Linked DNA regions of Oryctolagus cuniculus. The protein of the gene in region 6 binds, or shares a complex with, the protein of the main gene of each other region. Links are inferred from orthologs where the notes say so. Each region holds a gene or a part of one and is shown on either strand. Other genes may lie near its edges. The genes, in order: TIMM50, SURF1, TIMM17A, TIMM17B, CMC1 and TIMM21.

Region 1 (4,846 bases), on a different chromosome or scaffold from region 6:
TGGCAACGATTTTGCCTCTCCCTTTCCCTGGGAAACCAGGCAACCTCTGGAGACACTTCTGGCTGTCAGACGCTGGCATCCGGTGGGGGGATGCTAGATACCCTCCCCAGCTACACGGGCAGCAAAGCATCATCTGGCCCCGGGGCCACCAGGGCTGAGGGTGCACAATCTGTTCTAAATAAACACGCTGAGTCGTTTGAGAGGCAGAGAGAGAGAGAGAGAGAGAGAGAGAGAGCGAGAGAGCGAGAGAGAGAGAGAGAGAGAGAGGTATCTTCCATCAGCTGGTTCACTCCTCAAATGGCTCTACCAACCAGGGCTGGGCCAGGCTGAAGCCAGGAACCAGGCATTCCATTGAGGTCTCCCACACGAGTAGAAGGGGCCCAAACAGGTGGGCAGATGAGCCATCAGCGCTGCTTTCCAGGTGCATTGGCAGACAGCTGGCTAGAATCAGCACTCTGACACAGGACACAGGTGGGCGGTCCACGTGGCAGCTGAACCCAGGGCCCCAGAGCCCACCTGCAGCTGAACCCAGGGCCCCAGAGCCCACCTGCAGCAGCTCACAACCACAAACTCCTGTGACTGTCTCCCATGACTTTAAAACAGGATGCAGGTATTTCAAAGTTGGTGGAAAAAATTAAAAGGTAGTTTTGGTGTAAAAACAACTGAACACACGCATAGTTTTCTCACAATACACACCTTCTGTGAAGGCGGGGAGGTACCTGCAGGGCTTCACAGCTCTCCCGATGCGCCTGTCTCAACAATACTATAGCACAGAGGCTCGTGTTTGATACAGAGTCAGGACGCCAACGGGGGTCCCCCATTCCACTCAGCGGGATCTGGGCTCAAGTCCCAGCTCTGCTCCTGAGTTCTACTTCCTGTGCATGTGCCCTGAGAGCTGCAGATGATGGCTCAAGTCCTCGGGTCCCTGCCGCGTAAGAGACCTGGACTGAGCTCCAGGCCCCTGGCTTCAGCCTGGCCCAGCCCCAGCTGTTGCAGATATTTGAGGAGTGAACCAGTGGATGGGAGATCTGTGTCTTTCAAATAAATAATAAATTTTTCTTTAATCACATTATTAAAACCAGCTAAGGCAGTACACATAAACATGATGTTTATCTGCCCAGGAACCAAATGAAATGCCTGTTGATTTGTTCCAGTCAGGATGGTCCTACACCTGCCCAGTTAAAACAGCACATCTGCCCGCTTGCCCAGTTTAATTAGTGCAGTACCGTGCCTGTGTGCAAACTCGCCCAGCAGAGGCCAAGTGGCCTTCTGAAGGCACCAATGTCAGCCTCTCCCGGGCAGGGCTGGGTGGAACAACACTCTGCAATCTGGCAGAACAAACTCCATCCAAAGCCGGGTTGAATGGGGGTAAACTCAGAGGCCGCCACAGAGAGGGGCAGGTGCTCAGACCGAAGGCAGCAGACGCCGTGTCTGTGGATAAGCAGCCTGGTGTCCCCAGGCCCTGCCACCGGGCTCCCCTCCCCCACCTGGCTCTGACCATCTGCTCTCTGAGGGCTAGGTCTCTGTGATGCCCCTCCCAGAAAAGCATCGAGCTGCTGGCTCCCCTCCCCCAGCGCAAGGAGGAGCTGGGGGCACCAGATGGGCAGAGCTGGCTGCGTCAGGGACTCAGTCTCTGCTTGTTGACTCACCATTGTCGAACTCATCAGGAATCTGGGAAGCAGAGAGAAAATGCAAAGTTTGGGGTGGCAGAGGCAGACCCCACCACCACCCAGCAAAGCGATCTCCAGGGCCTGATTCCAGGTAGGGAGGGGCTTGCCCTAGACCCAAAAGGAGCCAGAGCGGACCCAAAGGAGGCCCTGACACCCACCCACAGGCTGGGACTCCTGGCAAGGCCTCTGGTCTCTTTCCACTCACCTTGGCACCGTTTTCATCCACAGGGTTGTTTCCTGCAAGGGAGACAGGAGTGAGGGAGAGGAGCTGGGCGCTGCCTCCTGGGTCTTGGAGGAGATGGGGGACAGGGGGCATAAGTGCACCAGAGACACGGCCTCCTGGGTTGGGGGGGACGGAGCCCCCTGGTGTCTGAGCGATGACTGTGCTGGACTGTGGCTGCAGGGAGGAGACACAGCCCAGGAGGCTGGTCCAGGCCTTCCCCACCTCCCCTCTTCCAGTGGCTCCCCACAGCCTCGTACAGGAGCCGACCAGTTAGAGTAGAACCTTACACAGGGGTGAGAGAGACGAAAGGAGACCCCCGATTTCCAAAGCAGGTTTCCTACTTGGTGGCCCTGTGCAGGGAAGCGCCCGGGAGTGAAGATGAGTGGCCCAGGGGCGGCCCCAGGGGAACAGAGAACTGGGGGGCCGGGGCGTCTCACCGAAGATGTAGACGATGCTCACGGTCCCGCCGGCCCCAAGCAGCCCAGCAAGCCAGAGCGCGACTTTCTTGGCATAGCTGGGACCCTCGGAGCCCGGCGGCTGCTGCTGCTGTGGTCCCGGGGCCTTGGCTCCCCCGCGGCTCCCAATTTCCGCAGCAGCCTGTGGTGGAGAAGGGGGTGAGGCCCTGCGGCGCGGAGGGCGCTTAGCCTGTCCCGCGGAAGGAGCCCGGGGCGCGGGGGCTGGCGGGCCGTGGGTGTCAGGAGCGCCGCGGGCCCCACACACGGGGCGTTGGGCCGGGAGGTCAAGGCGTCCGGACGCCCAGAGGGGCGGGGGCGGGCAGGGGCGATCGCTTGTCTGGGGGTTGGGAAAGTGGCGCAAGGAGGCCACGGACTTGGAGGTCAGAATGGCTGGGTCCCGTCAGCACGGAGGCGGGTCGAACTGGACGCCTGACGTCCAGCTCACCTGCCCCACGCCCGAGGCGGACAAGAAAACCTCAAGGCCAGGCTGGGGCTCTCCCGCAACTAGCGCCGGAGTGGTCCCCGAGGTAGGGAGCAGGCGACCCTCCGCCCCCGGCGCCCACGTGGCTGAGAGCGGAGGTGCAGAGGGTGCACTCGGGCCCCAGCATCCGGCCGGAGGAGAGCGCAGCGTTCGCTCCGGGAGGCACGGAGCCGGCCCGAAGGGCGGGCAGTGTTCCATTCAGCACCCTGAGGTGCGGCATCCCAGAGCCACTGGGCGGCAGCTCCCTGTCTAAAACTCCAAGGCGCGGCCGCCGCGCCCGCAGCGCCTGGCCTGTCCCGCTCACCTGGTCTGGGGCCCCGGGGGGCGGCGTCGCCAACCGCGTGCACAGCCCCCGCGCGCCGAGCCGGAGCCCGCTCCGCAAGCGCGAGAACAGCGCCGCCGAGGCCGCCATCTTGCGCTGACGCCACGAGGCCCCGCCCAGTCTCCCCGCTCTGCCCGCCCCGACCTGGGCCTGCGGCCAATCGGGGCACAGAGGAGGGACGGGCGGACGGGAGCCCGAGAGACCCAAAAGGCCTTGGGCGGACTGCCGCCGGCGCGCTCGCTCCTGACCAGTGTCCTGGCTGTCCTCGGGGCCCGTCAGCCGGGATATGGCCACCTAGCTCCAGTCCTGGGGAGCACCACTGGTACTGAAACTGGACGTGGCAGGGGCAGGGGTCACACTCACGGCTACCCGATTTGCCCCCAAAAACTGATAAGGAATCAGCTCATCTCGGCCCCTGGGGGGTTCTGCCTTCACCTCCTAATTGCCCTAAGTGAAACCAGCAGCGGGCGTGTAGCCTAGCGGTTAGGGCGCCCAGCGTCCCACACCGTATCACCTGGGTCTGATACCCGGCTCCAGGGCCGACTCCACGGGAGACCGGGGCTGAGCGCCCGGCAGGTGGGGCGAGCCAGCAGGTGGCGCTGTCCCCGTGTCAAATGAAGGGAAGGAGGCTCGGGACCCAGGCAGTTCTCTCCACTGCTCCTCCTCCTGCCGAGCGGGGCTTGGACGCTGCTCTCCTCGCCTTTCCCTAGGTCTTTCCTCCGTGGGGAAGCTGAGGCTTGGGTAAGAACTGACCCCACTTACAAACAAGGCCAGGCTCAGGCATCCGGCGCTGGGCGGGCATCCCATACGGGCGCCGGTTCGAGTCCCGGCTGCTCCACTTCCAACCCAGCTCCCTGCTATGGCCTGGGAAAGCAGCAGAAGATGGCCCAAGTCCTTGGGCCCCTGCACCCACGTGGGAGACCCAGGAGGCTCCTGGCTCCTGATCAGCTCAGTTCCAGCCGTTGTGGCCATTTGGGGAGTGAACCAGTGGATGGAAGATCTCTGTTATCTACCCCTCAAATAAATAAATTAAATTTTAAAAAAGACCAGGCTCAGCACTTTTGACCAAACAGCTTTTTATTGAAAGATCGTAACTCAAAAGCAAGCCGGGGGCTGGGGTACAAGAAAGTGGGGCCCCTCCTCCGGACTCTACTCTGATTCCTAGGAGCATGGGGGGGAGGTGACCCAGAGAGGACACCAAGGCAGTCCAGGCCGGCCAGCCCGGCCACTCTGCCTGCGCCTCGGCCCCAGGCACGCCTCAGGCCTCCAGCAGCTTCCCCAGGAAGCGGAGGTTGAGGATCTTGAGCTGCTCGTCCAGGTCCATGCGGACGATGCCGTCCTCACCGTCAATGCTCAGCAGCACTCCCGTGGCTTCCCGGTCCTCTCCCAGGATCACCTTCACCTGCGGGAGGCAGTCAGAGTCAGGGCCCCGCGTCCTCCACCCCCCACCCTCGGCCCCCGCCCCTCGGCCCCCGGCCTCACCTTGTTGTTCTTGGTGGGGGTGATGGGCTCCAGGTGCTCGCTGGAGATGCTGACCACCTTCTCACTGTCCTTCAGGTACACGGAGCACATGCCTCCCTGCAGGGGCACAGCCTGCTCAGCTGCCCTGTCCAGCACAGGACTGAGCCCGCATTCAGGCTCACTCGCAACACGCAAGTCACTTTCCCAAGATGACTCGGCGGCAGCAAAGGCCAG
Region 2 (4,735 bases), on a different chromosome or scaffold from region 6:
TCTCCACCGTGCCCAGCCCCGAGGCCGCCCTCACGGAGCCTCGCTGCTTCCCGGCCAGCTCCGCAATCCATCACCAAAACCGCGGCCTCACAGGAGACATCCCCCGGCCCTGCCCACAGCCAGCTCTCCTGGCTCGGATCCCTGCCAGGCCAGGGGTCTGGCCCGCGCCAGCAGCCTCAGGCCCCTGTCCTCATCTTCCCGCCCCAAACCCGAGTCTGCGCCCACCCGGGGCAGGAGGGCACAGCCACACCCCCCGTAACTCCCAGCCCCGAGTGGGGGGGGGCCGCACCCCCTTCCTGCGGCTTCCACGCCGTGAAGCCTCGTGGCCACCGCGCTGTCCCCTCTGGGCCCTCCCAGGTGCCTCACCCAAGAGCCGCCCTTCCTCACCCACTTTAACACATTCAAGGCAAACCCCAATTCACCACTTCCTGTCTCCGGCAGGAAACCAGACATTCACACTTGGGGCCGAAGCCGCCGCCTGCAGTGCCCGCATCCCATGTGGGCGCCGGTTCGAGTCCCGGCTGCTCCACTCTCTGCTGTGGCCTGGGAAAGCAGTGGGGGACGGCCCAAGTCCCTGGGCCCCTGCGCCCGCGTGGGAGACCCGGAGGAGGCTCCTGGCCTGCCCAGCGCTGGCCATTGTGGCCATCTAGGGAGTGAACCAGCAGATGAAGACCTCTCTCCTGCTGCCCTGTAACCCCCACTCCCAGAACACGGCTCTAAGCGCGAGCTGACGCCGTGTGCAGCTCTCCCCCAGCCCCAGCCCCTCGTCCTGGGCGCCCCCACCCCATCCTCAGACCGTCAAGGCCCCCTCCTCCTCTGCCTGCCGGGTGCGCTGTCCCCTCCGGCCTCCCAGAGCCCCCGGGAGCCCTCCCGAAGCTCACGCCGACCGGGTCTGGGGTCGGGCCGTCCTCCCGCCCGGGCGCGGGGCGACTTACACCGGCGCAGGGCTCGCTGGAAGCGGCGGCCGCGGGTGTGCCTCAGCACGTGCTCGGGGCACCTGTTGAGGTGCCGCAGGGTGAGCTTGCAGAACAGCTGGCGCCTGCGGGGCGGGGCAGGGGGCGGTCAGCGCCGACCAGCAGCCCGGGCGCAGACCCGCCGACCCAGGCGGGCCAGCGGAAGCCGGGCCCGGGCCTTCGCCACCACCCGCTCCCCTCCGGCCCACTCACAGAAACAGCCGCGACCCCCACCCTGTGCCGCCCCGCGCTCAGGCAGGGCGCTCCCGTCCCGGCCCCGGGGCCACCCACGGGCTCTTGGTGCTGGGCACGATGTGAGGCTCGAACTCGGCGTAGTCGAAGGCGGGGGAGGCGCGCGCCAGCCGCTGGTACTTCCTGCCGCGGGTGTAGACCTGCAGCTCGGGCAGCCGGCAGGGCAGCTCGTGGCCGGTCAGCGCGCACTTCACCTGCGGCGGGACGGCCAGAGGTCGGCGCCCTGCGCCCCCGCCGCGCCCGCGCCCGTGCCCGCGCCCCGGCCCTCCCCGCCTCCCGGACCTTGCGGGCGCCGGGCAGCAGCCGCAGGCTCGGGTGCTCGCACAGGAACGCCCGCACCTCGGCCGGCAGCGCGTCCATCGCAGGCGCGCGCCGCGTGCGGGGGGCGGGCCGCGGGCCGACCCGGAAGCAGTTGCCCTCCGCCCCGGAAGCTCCCGCAGGCCGCCGGTGCGATGGCGGCGGCGAGTCGGCTGGGGCTGCGCGCGGTGGGCCTGGGGCCGCTGCTGCGCGCGGCGTGCGCGGGGCGGGTGAGCGCGGGGCGCCGGGGCCGGGCGGGGCGAGGGAGGGTGGGAGCGGCCCCGGGGCTCAGCCGCCGCCCCCCGTCCCCGCAGGCCCCCGCCACCGCCTACTGGAGGAGCGCCCCGGGGGTCCTGCCGTGCCCAGGTGAGGGGGACTCGGCGCGGCCCCGAGGGGGTGTCGTGGGAACCCGGCTGGACGGTGTCGCTGCTGGCCGAAGCGGGAAGCCGGCGCCGTGCGTTTGTGAGCTCAGCGGCTGCAATCGCCGCAGCGCGCACGGAGCCCGGCGACCCCAGGCCCGCCGTCGGGACCACCCACCACCCCCGCGCGTGCCCTCTGGGTACCACCGCCCCGGGTGCACACGGAGCCCGCGGCCCGGCCAAGCCACTTGGCGAGTGCGTGCGTGAAGGCCTGCATTTCTGGGTGCAAGGCTTGGGGCGGCTCCGGGAGCTACCCAGGGCCATGGCACCGGCCACCAAACGCGCCCCGGGTGTGTGCGTGGGCCGGGCGCGGGTGCTGCCTGCTGGACCCCCACAGGTTAGGGCTGTTGAGGTCTGCGCCCCGCTGTCCCTGGCAGCGTCGCTGGCCTGAGTTAGCGCCCCGGTTCTGTCTGACCCCGCGGCAGGGGCGGCCGGGAGGCCGAGCAGGTGCGGCAGCTCCGCGGCGGACGCGCCGGCCTCCAAAGCAGAGGACGACCGCCTCCTGCAGTGGCTGCTGCTGCTCATCCCCGTGACTGCCTTCGGCCTGGGGACGTGGCAGGTGAGGAGGGGTCCTTCGGCCTGGGGACGTGGCAGGTGAGGAGGGCCCGGCGGGACGGCTCCGGGCCGCACGACCGTGGTCTGGGGCTCAGGCCGGGTGTCCTCGGCAGGTCCGGCGCCGCCAGTGGAAGCTGAAACTGATCGAGGAGCTGGAGTCCAGAGTGATGGCCGAGCCCATCCCGCTGCCGGCCGAGTGAGTGTGGCCGCCCCCTGCTGGGCTGGTCGTGGACAGGACTGCCCGGCACCGGCTCCTCTCCGTGCGCAGTGATTGGGGGTGGGGGGGTGGGTCGTTGTCATTGGAGAGCGCGCCCGCGTGGTTACACATCAGCACGCAGCGTGCGTCCATCAGCTGTGCAGGACGCTGGCCTGGGCTGCAGACCCACACTCCCGGGCCGCCCGGGCTGCTCTGTGCCAGCCTGCACCCCCTGTCTCCGTGTAGTCCCATGGAACTGAGAGGCCTGGAGTACAGGCCAGTGAAGGTCAGGGGCCACTTTGACCACTCCAAGGAACTGTACATGATGCCGCGGACCATGGTGGACCCTGCCCGCGAGGCCCGGGAGGCCGGCCGGATCTCCTCCTCCACCGAGAGCGGGGCCTACGTGGTCACCCCTTTCCACTGCACGGACCTGGGGTGAGCAGTGGGCAGGTGCACACGGGATTCCCTGCCTCCTTCCCCGCCCCCGCCGTGCAGGTCGATGGCCCCCACCAGCTAAGCAACCCTGGTTTACACTGCCTGGAGCTCCCTGAAGGGGGAGGGTGCGTGGCAGCCCCAGCTGTGCCTGCAGGGGGGCAGGCGGAAGTGAAGGGGGCTCCGGCCACCCCAGGCCCTGGTGACGGCTGGGGACGCCTAGCTGGCCACCCAGTCTGTCTAGGCTGGACACCTTCACCCGGATCTTCCTCAAGGACCCTTCCCCGCCCACCTCTAGGGTCACCATCCTGGTGAACAGGGGATTCGTCCCCCGGAGGAGGCTGAACCCGGACACCCGGCAGAAAGGCCAAGTAAGCGGCCACAGCTCTGGCCCTGCCCTCCCCCGGTCTCCTCGGTCGTCCCGGCCCTGGCCTGCTGCCCACTCGGCTCTTGCTGCCCTGCAGGTGGAGGGCGAGGTCGACCTGGTGGGGATGGTGAGGCTGACGGAGACCAGGAAGCCCTTCGTCCCTGAGAACAACCCCGAGAGGAACCACTGGCACTACCGGGACCTGGAGGCCATGGCCAGGGCCGCGGGCTCGGAGCCCGTGTTCATTGACGCGGACTTCAGTAGGTTGAGGCCACCCAGCCCGGGTCTGCCCACGTGGGGGGGGGGTGCAGGGCAGCAGCGTGCCTGTTCCTGCAGAGAGCACCATCCCTGGGGGGCCCATCGGCGGGCAGACCCGAGTCACCCTGCGGAACGAGCACCTGCAGTACATCGTGACCTGGTGAGCGCCCCCTGCCCAGCCCCGCCCTGCCCCAGCCGCCAGAGGCCTGGCTGACCACTCGTGTCGCACTGCAGGTACGGGCTGTGTGCGGCCACCGCGTACCTGTGGGTGAAGAAGTTCCTGCACCGAGCGCCTGGCGTGTAGCAGCCCTGCCCCCACACCCCCCCCCCCCCGAATAAAGCCGCCGTGTGAACCAAGGCCCTGACCTGAGCCCTGCGTGTGTGTGTGTGTGTGTGTGTGTGCCCGCGCGTCACTGAGTCAGGGACACGGGCTGGGACAAACCAGCTTTATTATGTACAAGCAGCCCGCGGTCACCCCAGCTTCGTGGCCAGCTCCTTGGCCTTGGCCTTCTCCAGCTTGGCGATGCGAGCCACGGACTTGGGCCCCAGGACGTTGCCTCCCCAGTGGCGGCGGATCTGCAAGGACAGGGGCGGTCAGCCTGGCCGGCCGCGCGGCTGGACAGGGAGGGGCGGGCGCTGCGGCGCTCACCTCGTCGTATCTGTCGTTGTAGTTGGTCCTGATGGCCTCCACCAGCTTCGCCAGGGCCCCTTTGTCCTCCCTGACACACGGGGGGGGGGGGGGGGGGGACACGTGGTTGGTTTTCACTCGCGGGCACAGGGCGGCCTCTGCCTGGGCGCGGGCGCCTCAGACGTCACTGACCACACGGCTGGTTCAGGTGAAGAAATTCTCGACCATCACTGGCGGGGGCAGGGCTGGGGGGAGGGGGCCTGGGGGGACGCGGGCACTTACGAGTTCACCTGCGTGAAGGCCACGGTGGTGCAGGTCTTCCGGTGCACCAGCCGGCCGAGCCGGGCCTTGCCCTTCAGGATGCAGTAGGGGACC
Region 3 (4,230 bases), on a different chromosome or scaffold from region 6:
CGGAAGCAAGCTGCTTCTGATGAGGTTCCTGAGGATCAGGAGCTCTAAAGGTAAGAGAACGTTTACTGAACAACCCCCTAACCAAGACATGCGCACTGTGCTTTCAAAGTAAAAACCGCGTCCGTAAAGCAATCTCCCGTGAAAAGATCCATGTTGACTAGCCTAGTTCTCACGCATGGCTCCCTGCGAGTGAGATGAGGGCTAACTATCCAGTGTGTGTTAATCAATACGTGAGCATGAAACGCAGAACCACACAACTTATCTTAAAAGACAGACCGAGTTCCAGAAGCTGTTTATTGTTTGGATAACAGAACACACTGGACCAGGCAGAGACGCTCCCAGGAACGGCTGGCGCGTTTCACTGCCTCTTGCCCTTTGGTCCTTCTTCTTCTAAGCACTTAGATTCTCTTTTAACGATAGGAGACATTTATTTTGATCACAAATGCAATCCAAGTGTGAATAAATAAATGTATTATTTTTTAATACTTCACATGTTCCTTTAAATAGAAAAAGTGCTCAATGTCTCTTCACAGCCTGCTCGGCCACAGCTGTCCCATCTATGGTTAAAAAGACTGTAACTTGGTCTTCTGAAATGCTTCTTGACCTCCAGCTCACTGCCGAGTAATTCCCAGGCAAGAAGTCCTACTGATATTGTCGATAGTCTCCAAATGGTGAGGACGGCAACTGGGCGGAAGGCAACTGGGAGGGGTCTTCAGCAAACTGAGGACCTGCAATTAGTAAAGAGGATTTAAGAATGACCTGCGTAGGACGTAATTCAAACGAGCAAGTCTCTAGATGACAGAGCAGCTAAGTCAAACTGAGGTCTACCTCAGAGCTGCAACCTGAATGTCGCTGTAACTCGACGTAACTCCCACAAAAGGACCAGAGAACCTTCAGACCCAGTCCATCAAGGACAGCCTGGCCTCCCGCGGGCTCCTCAGCTGTGCCGGGGAAGCTGGGCGGATCCGTCACAGCCAGAGGTGAGGCTCACACCCGAGAAGCCTCTTCTGTCACAAGCCGCAAACTGCCATGGAGCAAGGCGGGAGGACCCTGTCCCATCTGCACTTCTCTGTCAGCTGCTATTTAAAATTACTGTCACACAGTTTAAGTACCCTGGCTACACTGTAAGAGAACTCTGCAGTCCACTGCATGTAAGCGGTTAAGTGGGGCACGACCTCTGAAATGGCAAGACACCCCCGGCCCCCTTACAACAGTCCTGCTGTCTCAGCTGTTACAGAATGGGGGAGGGGGCGGTGTTTCTATGAACTAAGGAGAAAGGCAGCTCTTGAATAAAAAAGATGAATAATTAATCTTTTTTCCTTTAAGGAAATTGAAGCAGACTAAAAAAGTCATCTGGACAGAGAAGGGAGGCAGTATAAAACTCCTGGAAGGTGTCGATGCTTCGCTCCAGCGCTGTACTCTTGTTTCTCTGTGAAGCAGGACCTGTTCGTTCAGAACACTTGATACTGGATATGGCAGACACCAAGGACAACCACTGTTACCAGGAGACACACCTAACGCTACCCTCAGTTCTACCTAATACTTTCAGTGTTAATAATTTTCTCATGTAAGATAATTGGAAAAATATGGTTAACTCATGTATGAGAACTGAAAAATACAACTTCCCTCCTACACAGGCTTTCAGAAACATCTCCCATCTAAAGATAAAACTCATCTCTTTCAGGCTGATTATCCATAAATGCCGAATTTTGTACTCAAAAGGGAGATTTCAAGGAAAAAATTTAAAAGTAACCAAGACTAATCATTTAGCAGAAAGTAACTGTTTGCTGTATCTATCTGTGACCTTCTGAAAACAGGAAACTCCTGATCCTGATCACTGGGTACAATTCACCTGTTACAATTAGCAACAAATTACACTGGCTTCTCAGAGACCCTCCCAGCAGGCTTCCTTTCCACCGCTTTCATTCTCTTCAAAGCAGGGACATAATCTGACAGGATCTCACGTAGCTTTAATGTGTTCTCAGGACATAAATTCTTGAGTGCAGGGACTGTCCTGTCCACTACGGCACAAGGCCACAAGAGGACCTGGCACACAGATGTATCTAAGCTGTCATTACTGTTACACATCTGCAGAACCTTCTTCAAGCACCTTTAAAATGATCAGAAGTTTCATGATACAACCAAACGAGCACTCTAAAGATGAAAACAGAGTAACTGATGGGAAACATAGCGATCACCTTCACGCTCACTTTTCCACCTGGACCCAGAGCCTGTTATTATCATAGTCCTCATGAACCACAGCATACTAACATAATATAGAGGCTGCAAGCTACCATACTGTACTAGACAAAATATGCTCTTCGGGCTGGCGCTGTGGTGTAGCAAGTTAAAGCTCTGGCCTGCAGCGCTGGCATCCCATGTGGGAGCTGGTTCTAGTCCCGGCTGCTCCACTTCTGATCCAGCTCTCTGCTATGGCCTGGGAAAGCAGTGAAGATGGCCCAGGTCCTTGGGCCCCTGCACCCACGTGGGAGACCTGGAGGAAGCTCCTGGCTCCTGGCTTCGGAGCGGCACAGCTCCAGCCGTTGTGGCCATCTGGGGAGTGAATCAGCAGATGGAAGACCTCTCTCTGTCTCTATCTCTCTCTGTAACTCTGCCTTTCAAATAAATAAAATAAATCTTTTTTTTTAAAAAAATATGCTCTTCTATAACACCAGGAAACCATCCCAAAATGTCTGAGCTGTGGTATTAAGGAGAAAGAAGACTTACCATTGGGAAACTGTGCAGATGCAAATCTTGTCAACAAGATGCCAGCACCTTCAATTAAAGCTAGGAGAATGCCACCCATCGCGGCTGACCCCACCATGGCCACTGGTCCATCTGAAGATATTAATAACAAAGAGATTCTTTAATAGCAATCTACTTGACTGTTAAGACTACAGTAAAATAGAGAGCTTTCCATATGGCTACCCGCTCCCCTCATACCCAGACCCTTCGTTCTCACTGTTCAAGACAGAGCAGAGTCAGCAAACTAGGGCCCACAGGTCAAACACAGTCCACTGCCTGGTTCTGTACAGAAAGCTTTACTGGAACACGGCCAGTGCTTCCACTTGGGTGCCGTCTGTCATTGCTTTCATGCTGTGTAAAGCAGTTGTGACAAACACCGTACAGCCCACAAAGGCTAAAATATTTACTATCAGACCTTTTACAGAAAACTTGTACATCCTAAGTCTAAACCAGAAAACTCAAAGGAATTCCGGGTTGCTTCAAAAGATGGCTCTGAGCTCTTGACTCCTTACAACCCTATGCGGCAGGTACCGATTCCAGAGTACGGGTGAGGAAACAAGGTCTGGTAAAACGCCAGTCACAAAGTTAATAAAAAAAAGCACCGGACTGGGAGTGCTCTTGACCACTGTGATACACAACTCAGAACTTCATGCTCTCACCCTCACACGCTCCAAACAAGACACCCTCTTCCTTTCTCAGACGCCATCTCTGGCACGCCAGACCCCATCATGCAGTGTTCGGCTGTACGTATTAGAGGTCGTCACGTCAGGACAGGTGAGGTTCCCCCAAAGCCTGGCCTCTTCTGGAGTCTAGAGCAATCGCTTACTTCTTGCTGCCAGGATGGCTCCTGTCAGGGCACCACTTGTGATGGAGTTCCAGGGGTCTTCTTTCCCTCGGACTTGAACCATGCTACAGTCAATCATGGAAAACAGACCTCCCCAAACTGCAAAGCTACCTATTTTGAAAGCAAACAAAAAAAAACTTAAAAGTCACTTTTTCATCTTCTATTTAAAATGTTACAATCAAATACAAATGTAAACAACAACACTGGGGCCAGCGCTGTGGCACAGTGGGTTAACACCCTGGGCTGAAGTGCCGGCATCCCATTTGGGTGCCGGTTCGAGACCCAGTTGCTCCTCTTCTGATCCAGCTCTCTGCTATGGCCTGGGAAAGCAGTGGAAGATGGCCTAAGTACTTGGGCCCCTGCACCCAGGTGGGAGACCTGGAAGAAGCTCCTGGCTCCTGACTTTGGATTGGCGCAGCTCTGGCCGTTGCAGCCACTTGGGGAGTGAACCATCGGATGGAAGACCTCTCTTTCTCTCTCTGCCTCTCCTCTCTCTGTGTAACTCTTTCAAAAATAAATAAATCTTAAAAACAAAACAAAGGCCGGCGCCACGGCTCACTAGGCTAATCCTCCGCCTTGCGGCGCCGGCACACTGGGTTCTAGTCCCGGTCAGGGCGCCGGATTCTGTCCCGGTTGCCCCT
Region 4 (4,846 bases), on a different chromosome or scaffold from region 6:
GAGTATCCTTGGAGCTGGGTTGGTAAGTGTTCATTCATTCATTTGTTGGCTCATTCATTTAATGAATGACTAATGGGCATCTACTATGTGCCAGGCACTATGTTACAAGCAGGGATACAGCAGCGAATGGGGTAGATCCGGGCTCTGTCCTCCCAAAGCTTACATCAGTGGAAGGCAGATCCTGAGCAAGAGTACACACAAACAAGACAGATGCGGGCAGCAATATGCACTCCGAGGAGACAGGTTAAGAGAAGTGATCATGGCTGAGGGACAGGAAAGGCCTCTTCACAAAGGGGACATTTGTGCTGAAATTGTGACGATGAGAAACACAAAGATCTGGGAAAGGGAGTTCCAGGAGTTGAGAGGAGGGACAGAGCTACATATAAAAACTGCAGAGGACTGGACCTTGTGGTGCAGTGGCTTAAGGCCCTGCTTTGGATACCAACATCACATATGTGAGTGCCAGTTCAGGTCCAGGCTGCTCTGTTTCCTAAACAACTTCCGGCTAATACATCTTGGGAGGCAGTAGATGATGATTCAAGTGCCTGTGCCCCTGTCAGCCACATGGGAAACCCAGATGGAATTCCGGGCTCCTGGCTTCAGCCTAGTCCAGTCCTGGCTGTGGTGGGCAGTTGAAGAGTAAACCAGCGCATGGGCGCTCTCTCTTTCTATCACTCTGCCTTTCAAGTAGAGGGAAATAAATAAAACATTTGTTTAAAAATTACAGACTGGGGCAAGCATTTGGCCTATTGGTTAAAGCACCCACATCCCATATTGGAGTGCTTGGGCTTGATCCCCACCACTAGTTCCTGTTTTTAAGATTTATTTTATTTATTTGAAAGGCAGTGGGACAGAGAGAGGGGGAAAAACAGAAAAAGGGGTCTTCCACCTGCTGGTTCACTCCCCAAATGGCTGAAGCCAGGAGCCAGGAACTCCATCTGAGTCTCTCCCATGTGGGTGGCAGGGACCCAAATACCTGGGCCATCTTCTATGGCCCTCCCAAGCGCATTAGCAGGGAGCTGAATCAGAAGCAGATCAGGTGGGACTTGAACCAGAGCTCTGCTATGGGATGCTGGTGTCAAAAGCAGCAGCTTAACATAAATGCCTTCCAGCCCCAATTCCTGAGTCCAGCTCCCTGTGAATTCAGACCCTGGAAGGTAGCAGGTGATGGCTCAAGTCATTAGGCTCCTGCTATCCATCTGAGAGAGCTGGATTGAGTACCTGGCTCCTGGCTTTGGCCCAGGCTGTTGTGGACATTTGGGGAGTGTGCTCTCTTTTTTTTTTATTTTTTTTATTTTTTTTTATTTTTTGACAGGCAGAGTGGACAGTGAGAGAGAGAGACAGAGAGAAAGGTCTTCCTTTGCCGTTGGTTCACCCTCCAATGGCCGCCGCGGCCGGCGCGCTGCAGCCGGCGCACCGCGCTGATCCGATGGCAGGAGCCAGAAGCCAGGTGCTTTTCCTGGTCTCCCATGGGGTGCAGGGCCCAAGCACCTGGGCCATCCTCCACTGCACTCCCTGGCCACAGCAGAGGGCTGGCCTGGAAGAGGGGCAACCGGGACAGAATCCGGCGCCCCGACCGGGACTAGAACCCGGTGTGCCGGCGCCGCTAGGCGGAGGATTAGCCTATTGAGCCGCGGCGCCGGCCCGGGAGTGTGCTCTCTTGCTCGTTTGTGCTCTCTCCTGGCCCCTCTGGCTCTCAAATAAATCAAGAGATCATGACAAATGGTGATACATAAAGCCATGACATTTGATGACATTTTGTTTTTTGGCGGGGAGGGGAGTCAGGGAAATAAACCGAAGTATGTTAAATTAAAATGATTTTCTCAACTTTAAGGCTGTCCTCCTTCTGTCACTTCACTCCATCCAGGTTGAAGACCCAGCATCTGCCTCTAAAATCTATTTGGTTTTGCACACACACACACACACACACACACACACTCGGGACTGGGGAAGAATGTTTTTACAGCACATTTCCACCGAGGAGGTCCAGCTGGGTGGGGGAAGGGGACAAGAGGTCACATCTGCAGTTCCCCAGGTCCAGGAGCCAGGTCTGGCACATAGTAGGTGAATAGGGACCAGAAGAAGTTAAGTGCATTGGCCTGGCAGCTCCAAGCAGCTTTTAGAGTAGCGTCCTATGTGGGCAAGGCTGCTGACCCCCACACCACCCGGTGGGCCAGGACTCACAACAGGGGCGTTGCGGAAACCCTTGATGGCCTGGAAGACTCCGCCGCCGATGACACCCATGGTGAAGGCTCCACCGCAATCATCCACAATTCGCCATGGGCTGAAAAACCGGAAGGGAAGGTTGGGGTTAATGGGAGCCCCTCCCCTCCCTGGACTCTCTCCAAGTGGGAGAAACCAGTCACTGGAATGGCAAGTTTGTGAGTGAGAAGAAACACTTCAGATAACAACGAGCTAGTTCTGTCATTCTTTTTCCCTGATGAAATCGAGAAATGGGGCAAAAGGGGAAAAATAATAGTCTCTGCCTTGATCACCTTTTGCAGGCATCCAAGGAATCAGCCAATTACTTTACTAGCAAATATTAAATGAACTGAGGCATGTAGAGTTGGCGCATTTCAGTAAGGGTTACGGAAGTGTTAACTGGCTAGTTATTAAAAACGAGGTGACAGCCCCTTCTGGGACAGTGGCATCCAACCAAGCCTTGTCCCCTCCTCCTCTTAAACCAAGCACAACTGAGAAAAACCCAGAGGCCCGTTGGGAAAATCCAGCACCCCTCCTCACCCACAATAGGTTCACGCATGCCCCGCCCCGATTCACACAAGCGACCTGGGAAAAACCATGCGTGCCACCCTCCACCCACGCTGGAATGGACTGGACCAGCGTCTCTGCTCGCTAACAAAGAGGAACAGGAGCCACAAAGCCAGGGACAACATGGCGTGGTTCGTCCTGTACCGCCCCTTCTCTGGGCACACAGTTGTGGCCCCTTTTAAAGAACCCCGAAAGGAAGGAAGTACAGGGAGCGGAAGGCGAGAAGATTCTAAGTCTCCCTAATCTGGGACGCCGCACTGTGCGGCCGGTGCCTCCCCCGCCCGCCTCCCATGGCTGGTCTTGGGGCAGCAACAGTCCCGATGCCTGTGCCCATCGCCGTACCAAGGCTCCCGAGCATACTCCTCCATGGCGCCGGCGTCTGGAGGCACAGTCAGGCCCGAATCCTGTGGGCCACGCCCCCAGTGGAAACGCACCACAGGCGCTCTAGCTCTTCGCCTATCCCAGGACAGCGATTGGGTGGCTTCGCCACGTCAAACGCAGGACGCTTCTCATTGGACACCCAGGATAACGTCATCTTTCCACTGCAGTCCCAGCGTCTTCCAGTTACGTCTTGGCTCGGGTATTGAGTACGCCGTTGTGTGCTTTGGGGGAAACGAGTGGTGTGGTCCTGGTGATCAGAGCAGTGGCGAGAGGAAGGAGGCTGTTCTTTCTACCTGCCCGACTGTACTGGTAACGCGGGGAGGGGGAGGGGGGCATGGTTTTGCAGAGCTGGAGGAAGGGCTGCATTCCGCTCCCCCACCCCAGGGCTTTGGTTTTTCCCACCCAGCAGTCTTTGAGGGAGGTTGGGTGAGCCAGTTTCTGAAGCTGCGCTTGGCGCCTTTGGCGGTGGGTGGAGCCCGGGAGAGGAAGTGGATCCTGGAGCTCCGGGCCTAGTAAGTGAGCGGCTGGAAGGAGTTTTGTGACATTTGCAAGCCTCTTGTCTCTCGTGTTTTAGCGCATAGGTTGAGTCCGCCCAGCTAGCTCCTGGTGTATTTGGGAAGGTGAGAGTCCGATGAGTACATGCTACGGGAGGGATGAGCTCTGGGTTATGGGATCCAGATTTGAATCCTCATCAGTCTGTCTGTCCCCAGATCTGTCACCCGCTATGCCGCTGCCCGTCGCGCTGCAGACTCGCTTGGCTAAGAGAGGCATCCTCAAACATCTGGAGCCTGGTAAGAGAGCTAAGAGCAGATGGGCGTATCATGTATCAAGCCTGATAGGCCCTTTTTTCATTGATATGGACACTAAACACTCAGCGTGGACCTTCTGTGCTCTAAGCCGTGGCATGGCAAGGATTCCTGATGTCCATTCCTTTTGCAAACCATGCAATGTGTGTGTTTGTGGGGGGAGGGGGAGGTTGAAAAGATGCATATTTCATTCTTAACAATACACAACACTGATGCAAATTTCGGGCCTCCACGAATCACATGGAGGTAAATGCATAGTATTTAATAGGCTATGTGTCAAGTCCAGGATGTTGTTGTTTTTTTCGACTTACTCATTTGGGGCTGGTGCTGTGGTGTAGCGGGTAAAGCTGCCATCTGCAGTGCCGGCTTCCCAAATGGGCTGGTTCAAGTGCAGCCTGTTCCATTTCCAATCCAGCTCTCTGCTGAGGCCTGGGAAAATAGTGGAAGATGGCCCAAGTCCTTGGGCCCCTGCACCCGTGTGGGAGACTGGAAAGAAGCTCCTGGCTCCTGGTTTTGGATCAGCGCAGCTCTGGCCATTGTGGCCATCTGGGGAGTGAACCAGCAGATGGAAGACCTCTGTCTCTCTCTCTCTCTCTTTCTGCCTCTGTGTATCTCTCTCTCTGCCTCTGCCTCTCTGTAACTCTGACTCAAATAAAAATCTTTTTTTTTTTTTTTTGACAGGCAGAGTGGACAGTGAGAGAGAGACAGAGAGAAAGGTCTTCCTTTGCCGTTGGTTCACCCTCCAATGGCCGCCATGGCCGGCACGCTGCGGCCTGCGCACCGCTCCGATCCGATGGCAGGAGCCAGGCGCTCCTCCTGGTCTCCCATGGGGTGCAGGGCCCAAGGACTTGGGCCATCCTCCACTGCCTTCCTGGGCCACAGCAGAGAGC
Region 5 (4,959 bases), on a different chromosome or scaffold from region 6:
TCAAGCTGATCTTCCTGTGACAGGGAATGCTGGAGCACTCACATCTGCAACCTTCTCAGGACTGCCCTTGGGCAATGGTAATCTTTTACAGTTTCCCCTGCTTCCAGCTCCTACAGGTAACCAGCGGCTGACAGAGGGCATAAAGCTCAGCTCCGTTGCCCATGAGACAGGACAGACTTTGTACTTTGTGGGTGCACCAGAACTAACTAGCTAAGACCAGCTGCTACATTTTGAGTAAGACTTGGCTCCTGGGTAGCTACCTTGTTAAGCCACATCTTTGGACACCTGCATTCCACATTAGAGTGCCTGGGTTAGAATCCTAGCTCCACTTCCAATCCAGTTTCCTGCTAATTGCACTCTGGAAGGCAACAAGTATCACAGCTCAAGTCCTTGGGATTCTGTCACCTATGTGAGGTATCCGGGTCATGCCTCAAAAGACAGCCCTCTCAGGAGGGTCTTTATAAAAGCTGAGCTTGGCTCAGTCTCCCTCTGCCCCCTGGATCACCACATGATTGTTCCTCCCCTCGCACTCCACTAACCCTCTCCCAGCCTCACCAGTTAGCTGAACCAGAGGGACTTGCCCTATTTTAGACTGTGAACCTTCAAAACTGTGAGGCCCTACAATAAGCCTTCCTTCACAGGTAGCTCACCTTTGATAAGTAGTTGTAGTGAACAAAAAGCTGACTAATGCAACAGCCTTCCCTGAAACCACATCCTAACCCTTCACTCTCCTGTTCGCCTTACTCCCTTGCTTTTCCCCCTAAGGGCACTCCATTAATGAATCACTCAAATGTAAAACACAAAAGAGGAACCCACACGGAGTGACCAGATATTGTTCTGCAATAGTACACCAAAATAAAAAGAACCAGGACGTCTCAGAAAACGGGCCAAGTGGCAAGCCAGTGACATCCTATGTGAAGAAAGAAAAAATGCTCCCCAAAATGGGAAACTACCCCCAAAGCTCCAGAAGCTAGATAAAGAAATTCGCTGGCCAAATTGTAAATAGTTTGAAAACAAAAATAATTAGGTCGGGGCCAGCGCTGTGGTGTAGTGGGTTAACGCCCTGGCCTGAAGCGCCCACATCCCATATGGGCACTAGTTTGAGACCCGGCTGCTCCACTGCCAATCCAGCTCTCTGCTATGGCCTGGGAAAGCAGCAGAAGATGGCCCAAGTGCTTGGGCCCCTGCACCTGCATGGGAGATCTGGAAGAAGCTCCTGGCTTCAGATCTGCACAGCTCCAGCCTTTGCGGCCAACTGGAGAGTGAATCATCAGATGGAAGACCTCTCTCTCTGCCTCTTCTCTCTGTGTTAAGTCTGACTTTCAAATAAATAAATCTTTTAAAAAAATTATGTGCAGTAACAAGTATAAACCATTGAAAAAATAGTCACTCATGAGTCCTATGTTGGTTTTTCATCAGCGTATCTACATACCTGACACAGGATACTCCAACCTCTGGAAATCCTACTCTTCAAAGCCCAGATCCGCCGTTTCATTGCTCCATGAATTCTGACCCAATCGCTGAACCACAAACTGGTCTGATCATTATGCACTGTGGAATTCCTTTGCACTTCTACCAACTCCACCACTACCATTAACCTCTGTGCCTCCGTTTCCTCATATGTAAAAGAAATCAAAGGTCATTGAGACTACTTAGCTTGATTTTAAAAAGTGGTTCAATGAACACTATGCGTGTATTTTGTCCTCTGGGGGTCCCAAAAGTGTCTTTTCCACTTCGGAATCTCCAAATGGTTTGGAGCCATATCACCATCCAACACCTTGAGGCTTTGTATTTATAAAATGAAAGGAATTGGGAAAGGGGGGTGGCGGGGCTCAGGTTAAAGGCCCAGCATGCAGTGCTGGCATCTCATAAGGGCACAGGTTCCAGTCCCGGCTGCTCAACTTCTGATCCAGCTCCCTACTAATGCTCCTAGGAAAGCAGTGGAAGACGGCCCGAGTGCTTGGACCCCTGCACCCGCATGGGAGACCGGGAAGAAGCTCCTGGCTCCTGATGGGCTCAGCTCTGGCGTTTGCGGCCACTGGGGGAGTGAACCAGCAGATGGGAGACCTCTGTCTCTAGCTCCCTCTGTAATTATTTCAAATAAGTAAAATAAATCTTTAACAGCAACAACAACAACAACAAAAAGGAGTGGGCAGATCAATCACCGTCCCCCCAGGAGGCTTCTGTATCTACACCCTTGCATAAACTGCCTCAACGCCCAAGACGCAGGTGTGGTTCTGCGAGGAGGCGCCTTAGAGTAACAGAACTCTGCAGCAAAGGCAAGCAGGAGGAATCACGACAGTCAGAACATTTCAGAGCCTGGGGACCCCTTCCCCGAGAGACGACTCGCCACAGGAATGGACCCTCGAACCGCCGTGTCTGAGGACGAGCCGGGGGTCCGGGAATTCCCAAAGACAACGTGAACTCGAGCTCCGGCTCCAGTACGAAATGTTGCTGGGTCAAAGGTGCCTACACCATCCAATGTCTAGTCTGGGCCCTAAGGAGCGAAAATGACGACGAAGAAAGCCGTCTGAGCCGAGGAGGGAAAAGTCTGTTTGCCGCAAACGGACCACAGTTCCAACAACAAAACCCAGAGCCCCTCACCTAACCCTAACCTCGCCCGAGAGAAGCAACCAGGGCCGGCTGCGAACCCCACGGCAGGAGCCGGCGGTGAAGGCAGTGTGCGAAAGCGGCGCGACCTCAGATCGGACCTTGCCCAGCCCGGACGCCCGCGGCACCAGCCCGGCGTCCCGCTGCAAACCACGCATCAACCCCCGTACCTGCGGGGTCGAGCGCCATCGCGGCGGGCAGGGAACGCGCGGCGCCGAGGCTCCGGGGAAGGGGGCGGAGAGGGGAGGAGCCCGCGCCTGACAACACGTGCGGCCGCCCGGAGGGTCCCGCGACCGGAGCCCCAGGATGGAGAGAGGAGGGGCGACACACGCAGCGGGGGAGGAGCGCAATGCCCTTAGCGAGGACCCCACGAGCCCTTTTATCGCGTCCGCTACTTCCTACTTCCGCTGCCCGTTACGCCTGCGCCGCCTTGGCCCCGCCCACAACCCGGTAACTAGGGTGGAAGCCGACTCCCCGCGGGAGCGACCCGGGGAGGGGGCGTGGCTGCGCGTGCGCCGTGGGGGCGGGCGCTTCGGGGCGCGCGCAGCCTCCGTTTGGCCTGAGCGAGCACCCGGGGATAGCCGCGTGGGCTGGAGCTGGGTTTAGGGGGTTTGCTGACAGCGCTCCCTTTGGCCACCGCTTTCTAAGCCCGAGCCTCCCACGCTGTATCTGCGAACCGGCTGAATCATCTCGTTTTTTCATTCATTCATAAACTGCACGCCAGCCAGGCTGCAGACGGGGTTCTGCGTCCTAGGGGGAAATAACAATAAAAACAGGGTCCTTCTCCGGGGGTGGGGGTGGGGGGCAGTGCCTGCAGGGGAGCGCTGTGAAATGCGGAGGTAGCGTGCTGTCACGGTTTCTCCCCCACATCCGCGGCCTGGGGCGCTCGATAATAAGAGCTAGGGGTCCCTCGGTTTTGTGACATAGCATTTTGGGGGCGGGGGATCGTTTCAAACCGACTCCGTGCATTCGGCCTGTCCTCCCTAGACTCCCCCTACCGCTCTTCACAGAAGGAATTTTCGGGAGTGGGGCGGGGGCGGCGGCCACGCAGGCTCAGCTGCCCCGGCTCCCACGCAACCTTCGCGGGGCGCCTGCCTCTCCAGTCCACCTTGAACCTGCTCGAGGCTCCTGCGGCTGGGGGCAGATGGGACAGATGTTTAGAAAAACAAGGAGCAGCTGCCTCTTCCCTGCAAGGGATTCAGGGCTTTCAAAACGATCCCCTCCCCTCCTACCTGCGGTCCCTCCTCCCCTGCTGCTGCTTCCGCCTGGTCAGTTGGCAGAAGAGCGGAGCCCTGGAGCCGGGCTGGGAAAGTGGGTCTCGGCTCAGCAGGTCTTCCGTTTAAGGGCCTAGCTGGGCATTAGGGCCCCGATTACAGCTGCAGCTTGAGGTGCCAAGGTGAAGAATTAGCGCTTCCTACAGCCAGGCAGGACATCGGGTCCTTTTCTTGCATGCTGTGTAAATGTGCTTAGACCCAATTCGGAAGGCAAAGACGAACCTTCTTGAGGAAGAGGTGGGGTGTAAAGACCCGGCTGATCGAGCTGAAAGACAGGATTTGGTAAAAGTTTTATAAGGCTGTTTTATGAAAGTATGGTGCAGGATGGGTGCAGGTGGAGAGGAGAGAGCCAAGAGGTCTGCAGGCAGTCACTCAGGGGCACGACTGCGTTAGTCTGGGCAGGAGCTGAAAAATGGCTGAGCTGGCATGTGTGGAAATGTAAAACAAAGGGGTAGGTGAGAGAGTAATTGCAAAGAGGAATCTGTGCGTCCTGATGGGGCTTGGGAGACTAGCGCAGGCCGTTCAGAGGATTTCTAGGTGATTCCTTTCCTCATACAAATGAGAACATCATGGCAGTGTGCCCATTCATGTCTAGAATGAGCTGCCCTTGTGGCTCATTATGGGGCAATACCGAGACAGACAGCAATGAGGAAGAAAATGCAGTTACCTGGGGAGAGTGGCAAAGGTTGAACCATGCTTACAGCCTGTGGAGGCAAAAAGAAGTGCTCAGAATGTAGAGTGGACATTCAAAGTACACACACACGAGAGAGAGAGAGAGAGAGAGAGAGAGAGAGAGAATGTGTGTCTCCCTATATTTTTCTTTAAAAAAAAGGATTTTATTTGAGATTTGAGAGGTAGAATTACACACAGAGGGAGAGACAGAGAGAGGGCTTCCATCTGCTGGCTTACTCCCCAGATGGCTGCAAAGGCTGGAGTTGAGCAGATCTGAGGCTAGGAGCTTCTTCAGGTCTCCCACGCAGGTGCAGGGGCCCAAGCACTTGGACCATAGCAGAGCTGGATTGGAAGAGGAGCTGCCGGGACTCGAACTGGCTCCCATATGGGATGCTGGCACCGC
Region 6 (4,769 bases):
TGCCTATTACCCAACAGGCCACTGGCCCCAACACCCTGGACTGTTGATCCTCTCCCAACATTCAGCTTGCCTTGCTATTTAATCATTTCTCTCTAGGCAGCTCCTGCACACCTACTCTGTTAAAGCCCTGTGCTGAGTGTTACTCATGTTCTACACATTAAAATTCACATCTGAGGCCAACATTGTGGTGCAGTGGGATAAGCCACTGCCTGTGACACTGGCATCCCATACGGGCACCAGTTGAGTCCTGGCTGCTCCATTTCCTATCCAGCTCCTTGCTAATGTGCCTGCTAAAGCTGTGAAACATGGTCCAAGTACGTGGGTCCCTGGTGCCTACACAGTAGGACTGGATGGAGTCCCAGGCTCCTGGAAATAACAGAATGGCCCTGGACAGAACAACACTGGAGGGAAGGCTCAGCACGCTCAGAGGACGGGCATGCTGGAGTGGACGTGAGTACCAGAGGCCAGAGAACACTGTTTACCAAAGCCGTAAAGAGCCACACAGTCACATCACTCAAGAGTAGGGTCCCCCGACAGTGCTAGGGACAAAGGGAGCGTGTAACGGATCAGTGCACCTACCGCACTGAACGGCCAGGCTACAGCGGCAGTGCCAGACCTACAGAGAGCGGCTGAGATGAACAGTCCATGGGAACATGGTGCTGCCACGTGAAGACTGACGGCAGCTGACAAGGACGATGCTCAGTTGTATAATCATTAGAAATTATTTATGGGTGATTCGGTGGCTGCAGGCAGTCGTTCGATCACTGCCCCAGTTTCTAGACCAGAGTCACTGAGACCTGGAGCCCACTTGCCACGGCCACCTCCCTCTGAGGCACTTGGACAAGTGCATACGATGACTCACCGGTCCTCCACTAAAGGACCTGCAGTCACAATGGCACCCAAGGACCCAGGCCGCAGGGCTCCCCTCTTAGGAGTGTAGGGGGCCACGGCACAGCATCTGGCTTGTAAAGTGTTCACAGCTGAGCTCAGGGACTTGCCCAGTAGTCAGTTCCCTGATTTCCGAATGTGTGACTGGAATGGAGTATTCAGTAACTCGAGTTTCTCTGGAGGCGGGTGAAGAGCTATCACAGTGGGAAAGTCTAACAGAAGCCTCTGAAACTACCACCTCCAACCCAACCAAGACAGCAAATCAAAATGCATCGCTTCTCCGGGGCATGCCAGAGACACTGCGACTCTCGGAGGGCTGTAGTACCCACCGTATTCTCACGTCAATCACCAGTCTTCCACTGACAGAAACCCCAGGAAGAGGCCAGAGAATGACTGTACTTCAGTGGGAACTCAACCCAGCAGTAGCTGCAACCCAGGTGCAAAACCAGATGCTGCGACTTCCCGGGAGCACAGTAACACGGCCTCACGCGCTGGGATCGAGCCGGAGAGCACTGAGAAGGAGCAGACACCAGCGTGTATCTGTGGTCTTGCTTAGGACTGCGAGTTCTCCCATCTCATCATATACAGTCCTGAGGGACTGGAGCCTTCTGAACCTGGGCCGCCACAATCGGCACTGGCCACCCATGGCTGTGAGTAGTTTTAGATGCATTTAAATAAATAAGATAAACTCAGTTCGCTGGAAAATTCAAGTGCCCAGCAGCTGCGTGTGCCTACCAGGCTGGACAACGCAGACAGAACATTCCCATCACTGTAGAGCACGCATCTGGACAACGCTGCTCTGGACAGCTGGCAGAGTATGGACGCCATCGTCTTAGAGTCCAGAAGTAGTAAGGGGCAGTGCACTGGAAGGCTGGGTAAGACGAGGGCCCCAAGAGGGAAAGGCGTGCCTGTGGAGATGCAGCGGCCCCCTCGCCGACCACATCACCCAGCCTTGTAGAGGGCCCTGGTCTGAGATGTGCTAGGGTGTTCCACCCCAAGTAAAGGGGAAATCGCATCCTACCCTTCCCACCACAACACCTGTTAGGCCTCCTTGGATTCTGGAGCCAGCGTCTTCCACATCCGGGAATACTGCTCCCACCGACTGAGTGACGGGAAGTCTGTCACCTCTGAACGGGGTCCATGTCGGGAAAGGACTCCGAAGAGCCCAGCCTGTCATAAAACAGGTGACCGACACACGGGCCGTCTGCCACTCCCACTCCTGTCCGCGTGCAGCTGCGCCTTTCATGCCGAATCGCCATCACGAATGAAAATCAGATTGGTTCTGACCCATTAGTAGAGTACAAGACATCTGGCAGGACCTGAGACTTGGAAACAATTTACTAGGAAATGTATCTGTATCGAAAGGACATACACCTTATCTCTGCATGGTATAGGCAGGGGTCTACACTGCTTTCTTTGCTTCTCTCCCCTCAATTACTTTTGAAACGAAGAAACGAAAACTTAAAATACCTGTGAAACTATTCTGGTTTTCCCTTACAAGTCACATTTCCTCCTGTTTTGTACGTCTCATGACTGCATGTAACATCGCAGGCCAGGGGTGTTGCGGACACCTTTAATTCTGTGGTCTACGGGGGCTAACTCAGGGCCTCGGCACAGCAGCAGTTACTCAACACAAGTGCACGTGGGTCGACCTGCATAGAGTTCTCCCTACTATGAACGGATCAGCTTTCTCTTCTGCTTAGCCAACTACTCTGTTACATGGACCAGGGCTCACTCAAGCCGAGAGAAGCTTCCTAGACACCGTGCGGACGTGACATGTCACATGACGTGACATGCAACGTGACATTCATGACCAGCACCGCGTCCGTGCAGGCCGCCGTGGGCGTCCACCCCAGCTGTCACTGCTGGTTCAACCCGCCAGCCACGTCTGCATCGTCGGCAGCGGCCGCGCTCCCATCACCGCGGGTTCTGTTACCTTTCTGTGAGGCTGAGACGGCCGGGTCCCTTCCCTGAGCTCCGTGCACGGACACCTGCTTGCTGCTGTCCTCCTCGGCCTTCCGGGGGCTCGGGCACCCGGTCCAAAGGGCCTTCTGGCCGGCGCCGAGGCCAGGTTCGGGCCGCGGGGTTCTCCGCGGCTCTTGCCGCCCCCATGTCAAACGGGGCCCGGGCTTCAGGCACGATCTGTGAAGCACCACGTGTGGCGAAAACCAGCGCTTGCCCGAACACCTGTGCAGCTTCTCCGCACACCGCGCAGCCCGGAGCAAGTTACCGATCATGCTCGCCGCAAGCTGTCCCGTCGGGGGCCGATGCCAAGTGCAACCAGCAGAGCCTCACAGTCCGCCACGCAGCCAGCCGGACACGTGCCTAGGCCCGCGTCACGCACAGTGCTGGGAGGCGTCTCCTACGACGGAACATCGCCCCAGAAAAGTTTATGCTCGCTTTCCCTTCTCCTAAAACCTGACCCCCTTCTACGCTGCCATTCACACCGCACCGCGGCGCCTTCGCAAGGTAACCCGGGAAGCTCGAGAGCATCCTGGGAACTGCAGTGCCGAGCCCTGCTCCTAACGCAGCCGCAGGGCGCGGAAGGCGAGAAAAGGACTACAACTCCCACAATGCAAGGCGCTCGGGCGCGTCGGCCTTCTCAAGGCTCCCAGACGCTCTGCGCGGGACGCATGCGCCGCTCGTCCTTCAAGTACAGGAGGGCGGGGCCGCGCTAGTGAGGAATTCCTGCTTCGGTCTCTGCACGGTCCAACCCGAAGTTTAAAAAGAGGAACCTACAACTCGCGTTTTCCTGACTCTTCTAGACAGGACTGAACACTGGGACATCCGTCCGACTGTGGCGTTGCGGGCCCGTACAGGCCGAGGCTGTAGTTCCCGCATCTCCAGAATTCAGTTTTTTCTTAAGAGTTTGCCACACAGTACACAGCAAGTGGAGCTCACGGAGCATGCTCCTGAGGGGCGTCCTCGGCGTCGGAACGTCGGGGGCGTGGGAAAGAGCGGGACGCGGAAGCGCCCAGAACGCCGCACCGGAAGCGGTGGCGCCCCAAGGGGGCGTGTCCGGGGACTGCGCACGCGCCGCCTCTCTACGCTCTGCGCACGCGCCCGGGGCGGGACTCCGGGTCTCCATGGCGACCGGACGCGGTCGGCTCCTGCAGCAGCACTGGCTTGGCCTCCAGGCTCTGTACTGGCCCCTGCGCGGCCGGGGGTCGGCTTGCGAGAACCCTGGGGAGGCCGCGCGGTGCCCAGGGGCTTCGGGGCTTAGGTGACGGTCGGGGGGAACCGCGGGTGGGGGCTCCGCGGCTCGGGAAGCCTTCGAGTGTCCCTGGCCCCGCCCCGCGCTCTCCCACGCGTGTTTTTATTCCCCGGGCTGTTTCACGCGGGACAGCCGCTTTGTCCTGGACTTGCGGGCGCTCCAGGTTGTGGACAAGCAGTGCAGTGTCCGGGGTCAGGTCCTGGTGTCGTGCGTCCCGGGACGCGGTTGGCCCCCGCCCACATCTTGGGACCCCCGCCCCGAAGTCTCGTCTTTTCAGGGCCCTGGGGTTCCGAGGGCGCATCCCGCCTCGTGCACGGGGCAGCCCGTCCGGCCGACGGCAGGCTCGTCCTCTGGTCTGTGTTCCTGGGGTCTCTTGGGCCTGGACTCCCCGGGGTGGGGTAGGGGCCGGGGGCTGGATGCCGCGTCTGCCTCCGGCCTCTTCCCCGAGCTGTTCCCGTCCCCCGCCCCTGCCCAGGGCCGGCGGTGATGGTCTCCCCAGGCTCCCCTACTTGATAGATACAGGAGCGCGGCGCATTCTGCCTTCTGATAGCCAAACGTCGAAGTGTAGACAAGGATTGGTCCTGGCCGAGCTACTCAAGCCCCCACCCCAGTCTCCAGGGCCGGGTTCCGTGGCCTCCAGGCTCAGTGTCCCCAGGAACCGTGTTTG

What was found.
Region 1: TIMM21 (region 6) and TIMM50 share a complex: the UniProt entries of both Homo sapiens proteins name them as parts of the TIM23 complex. The link is inferred for Oryctolagus cuniculus from reciprocal best matches to the Homo sapiens genes TIMM21 and TIMM50.
Region 2: TIMM21 (region 6) and SURF1 share a complex: the UniProt entries of both Homo sapiens proteins name them as parts of the MITRAC (mitochondrial translation regulation assembly intermediate of cytochrome c oxidase complex) complex. The link is inferred for Oryctolagus cuniculus from reciprocal best matches to the Homo sapiens genes TIMM21 and SURF1.
Region 3: TIMM21 (region 6) and TIMM17A share a complex: the UniProt entries of both Homo sapiens proteins name them as parts of the TIM23 complex. The link is inferred for Oryctolagus cuniculus from reciprocal best matches to the Homo sapiens genes TIMM21 and TIMM17A.
Region 4: TIMM21 (region 6) and TIMM17B share a complex: the UniProt entries of both Homo sapiens proteins name them as parts of the TIM23 complex. The link is inferred for Oryctolagus cuniculus from reciprocal best matches to the Homo sapiens genes TIMM21 and TIMM17B.
Region 5: TIMM21 (region 6) and CMC1 share a complex: the UniProt entries of both Homo sapiens proteins name them as parts of the MITRAC (mitochondrial translation regulation assembly intermediate of cytochrome c oxidase complex) complex. The link is inferred for Oryctolagus cuniculus from reciprocal best matches to the Homo sapiens genes TIMM21 and CMC1.

What each region holds. Positions count from the first base shown.
Region 1 is NC_091449.1:15,489,179-15,494,024, forward strand, and holds the start of TIMM50 (mitochondrial import inner membrane translocase subunit TIM50), read right to left. Parts: upstream 3,290-4,846; 5' UTR 3,242-3,289; coding exon 3,134-3,241; intron 2,491-3,133; coding exon 2,331-2,490; intron 1,908-2,330; coding exon 1,876-1,907; intron 1,672-1,875; coding exon 1,650-1,671; intron 1-1,649. Other genes in the region: SUPT5H (transcription elongation factor SPT5), read right to left, coding at 4,410-4,553, 4,634-4,729. UniProt on the Homo sapiens protein: Essential component of the TIM23 complex, a complex that mediates the translocation of transit peptide-containing proteins across the mitochondrial inner membrane. Has some phosphatase activity in vitro; however such activity may not be relevant in vivo.
Region 2 is NC_091432.1:235,375,249-235,379,983, reverse strand, and holds SURF1 (surfeit locus protein 1), read left to right. Parts: upstream 1-1,644; 5' UTR 1,645-1,657; coding exon 1,658-1,732; intron 1,733-1,816; coding exon 1,817-1,868; intron 1,869-2,346; coding exon 2,347-2,480; exon of another isoform or gene 2,481-2,515; intron 2,516-2,589; coding exon 2,590-2,672; intron 2,673-2,918; coding exon 2,919-3,110; intron 3,111-3,405; coding exon 3,406-3,478; intron 3,479-3,571; coding exon 3,572-3,734; intron 3,735-3,810; coding exon 3,811-3,892; intron 3,893-3,966; coding exon 3,967-4,036; 3' UTR 4,037-4,090; downstream 4,091-4,735. Other genes in the region: SURF2 (surfeit locus protein 2), read right to left, coding at 936-1,039, 1,245-1,399, 1,488-1,565; RPL7A (large ribosomal subunit protein eL8), read right to left, coding at 4,204-4,308, 4,382-4,451, 4,643-4,735. UniProt on the Homo sapiens protein: Component of the MITRAC (mitochondrial translation regulation assembly intermediate of cytochrome c oxidase complex) complex, that regulates cytochrome c oxidase assembly.
Region 3 is NC_091444.1:17,865,730-17,869,959, reverse strand, and holds the end of TIMM17A (mitochondrial import inner membrane translocase subunit Tim17-A), read right to left. Parts: intron 3,701-4,230; coding exon 3,572-3,700; intron 2,839-3,571; coding exon 2,728-2,838; intron 729-2,727; coding exon 643-728; 3' UTR 276-642; downstream 1-275. UniProt on the Homo sapiens protein: Essential component of the TIM23 complex, a complex that mediates the translocation of transit peptide-containing proteins across the mitochondrial inner membrane.
Region 4 is NC_091453.1:34,071,510-34,076,355, forward strand, and holds the start of TIMM17B (mitochondrial import inner membrane translocase subunit Tim17-B), read right to left. Parts: upstream 3,276-4,846; 5' UTR 3,138-3,275; coding exon 3,112-3,137; intron 2,285-3,111; coding exon 2,185-2,284; intron 1-2,184. Other genes in the region: PQBP1 (polyglutamine-binding protein 1), read left to right, coding at 3,875-3,941. UniProt on the Homo sapiens protein: Essential component of the TIM23 complex, a complex that mediates the translocation of transit peptide-containing proteins across the mitochondrial inner membrane.
Region 5 is NC_091435.1:164,608,906-164,613,864, reverse strand, and holds the start of CMC1 (COX assembly mitochondrial protein homolog), read right to left. Parts: upstream 3,060-4,959; 5' UTR 2,800-3,059; coding exon 2,781-2,799; intron 1,616-2,780; exon of another isoform or gene 1,433-1,615; intron 1-1,432. UniProt on the Homo sapiens protein: Component of the MITRAC (mitochondrial translation regulation assembly intermediate of cytochrome c oxidase complex) complex, that regulates cytochrome c oxidase assembly.
Region 6 is NC_091441.1:4,572,335-4,577,103, forward strand, and holds the start of TIMM21 (mitochondrial import inner membrane translocase subunit Tim21), read right to left. Parts: upstream 3,342-4,769; 5' UTR 3,126-3,341; coding exon 2,825-3,125; intron 1-2,824. Other genes in the region: FBXO15 (F-box only protein 15), read left to right, coding at 3,795-4,111. UniProt on the Homo sapiens protein: Participates in the translocation of transit peptide-containing proteins across the mitochondrial inner membrane.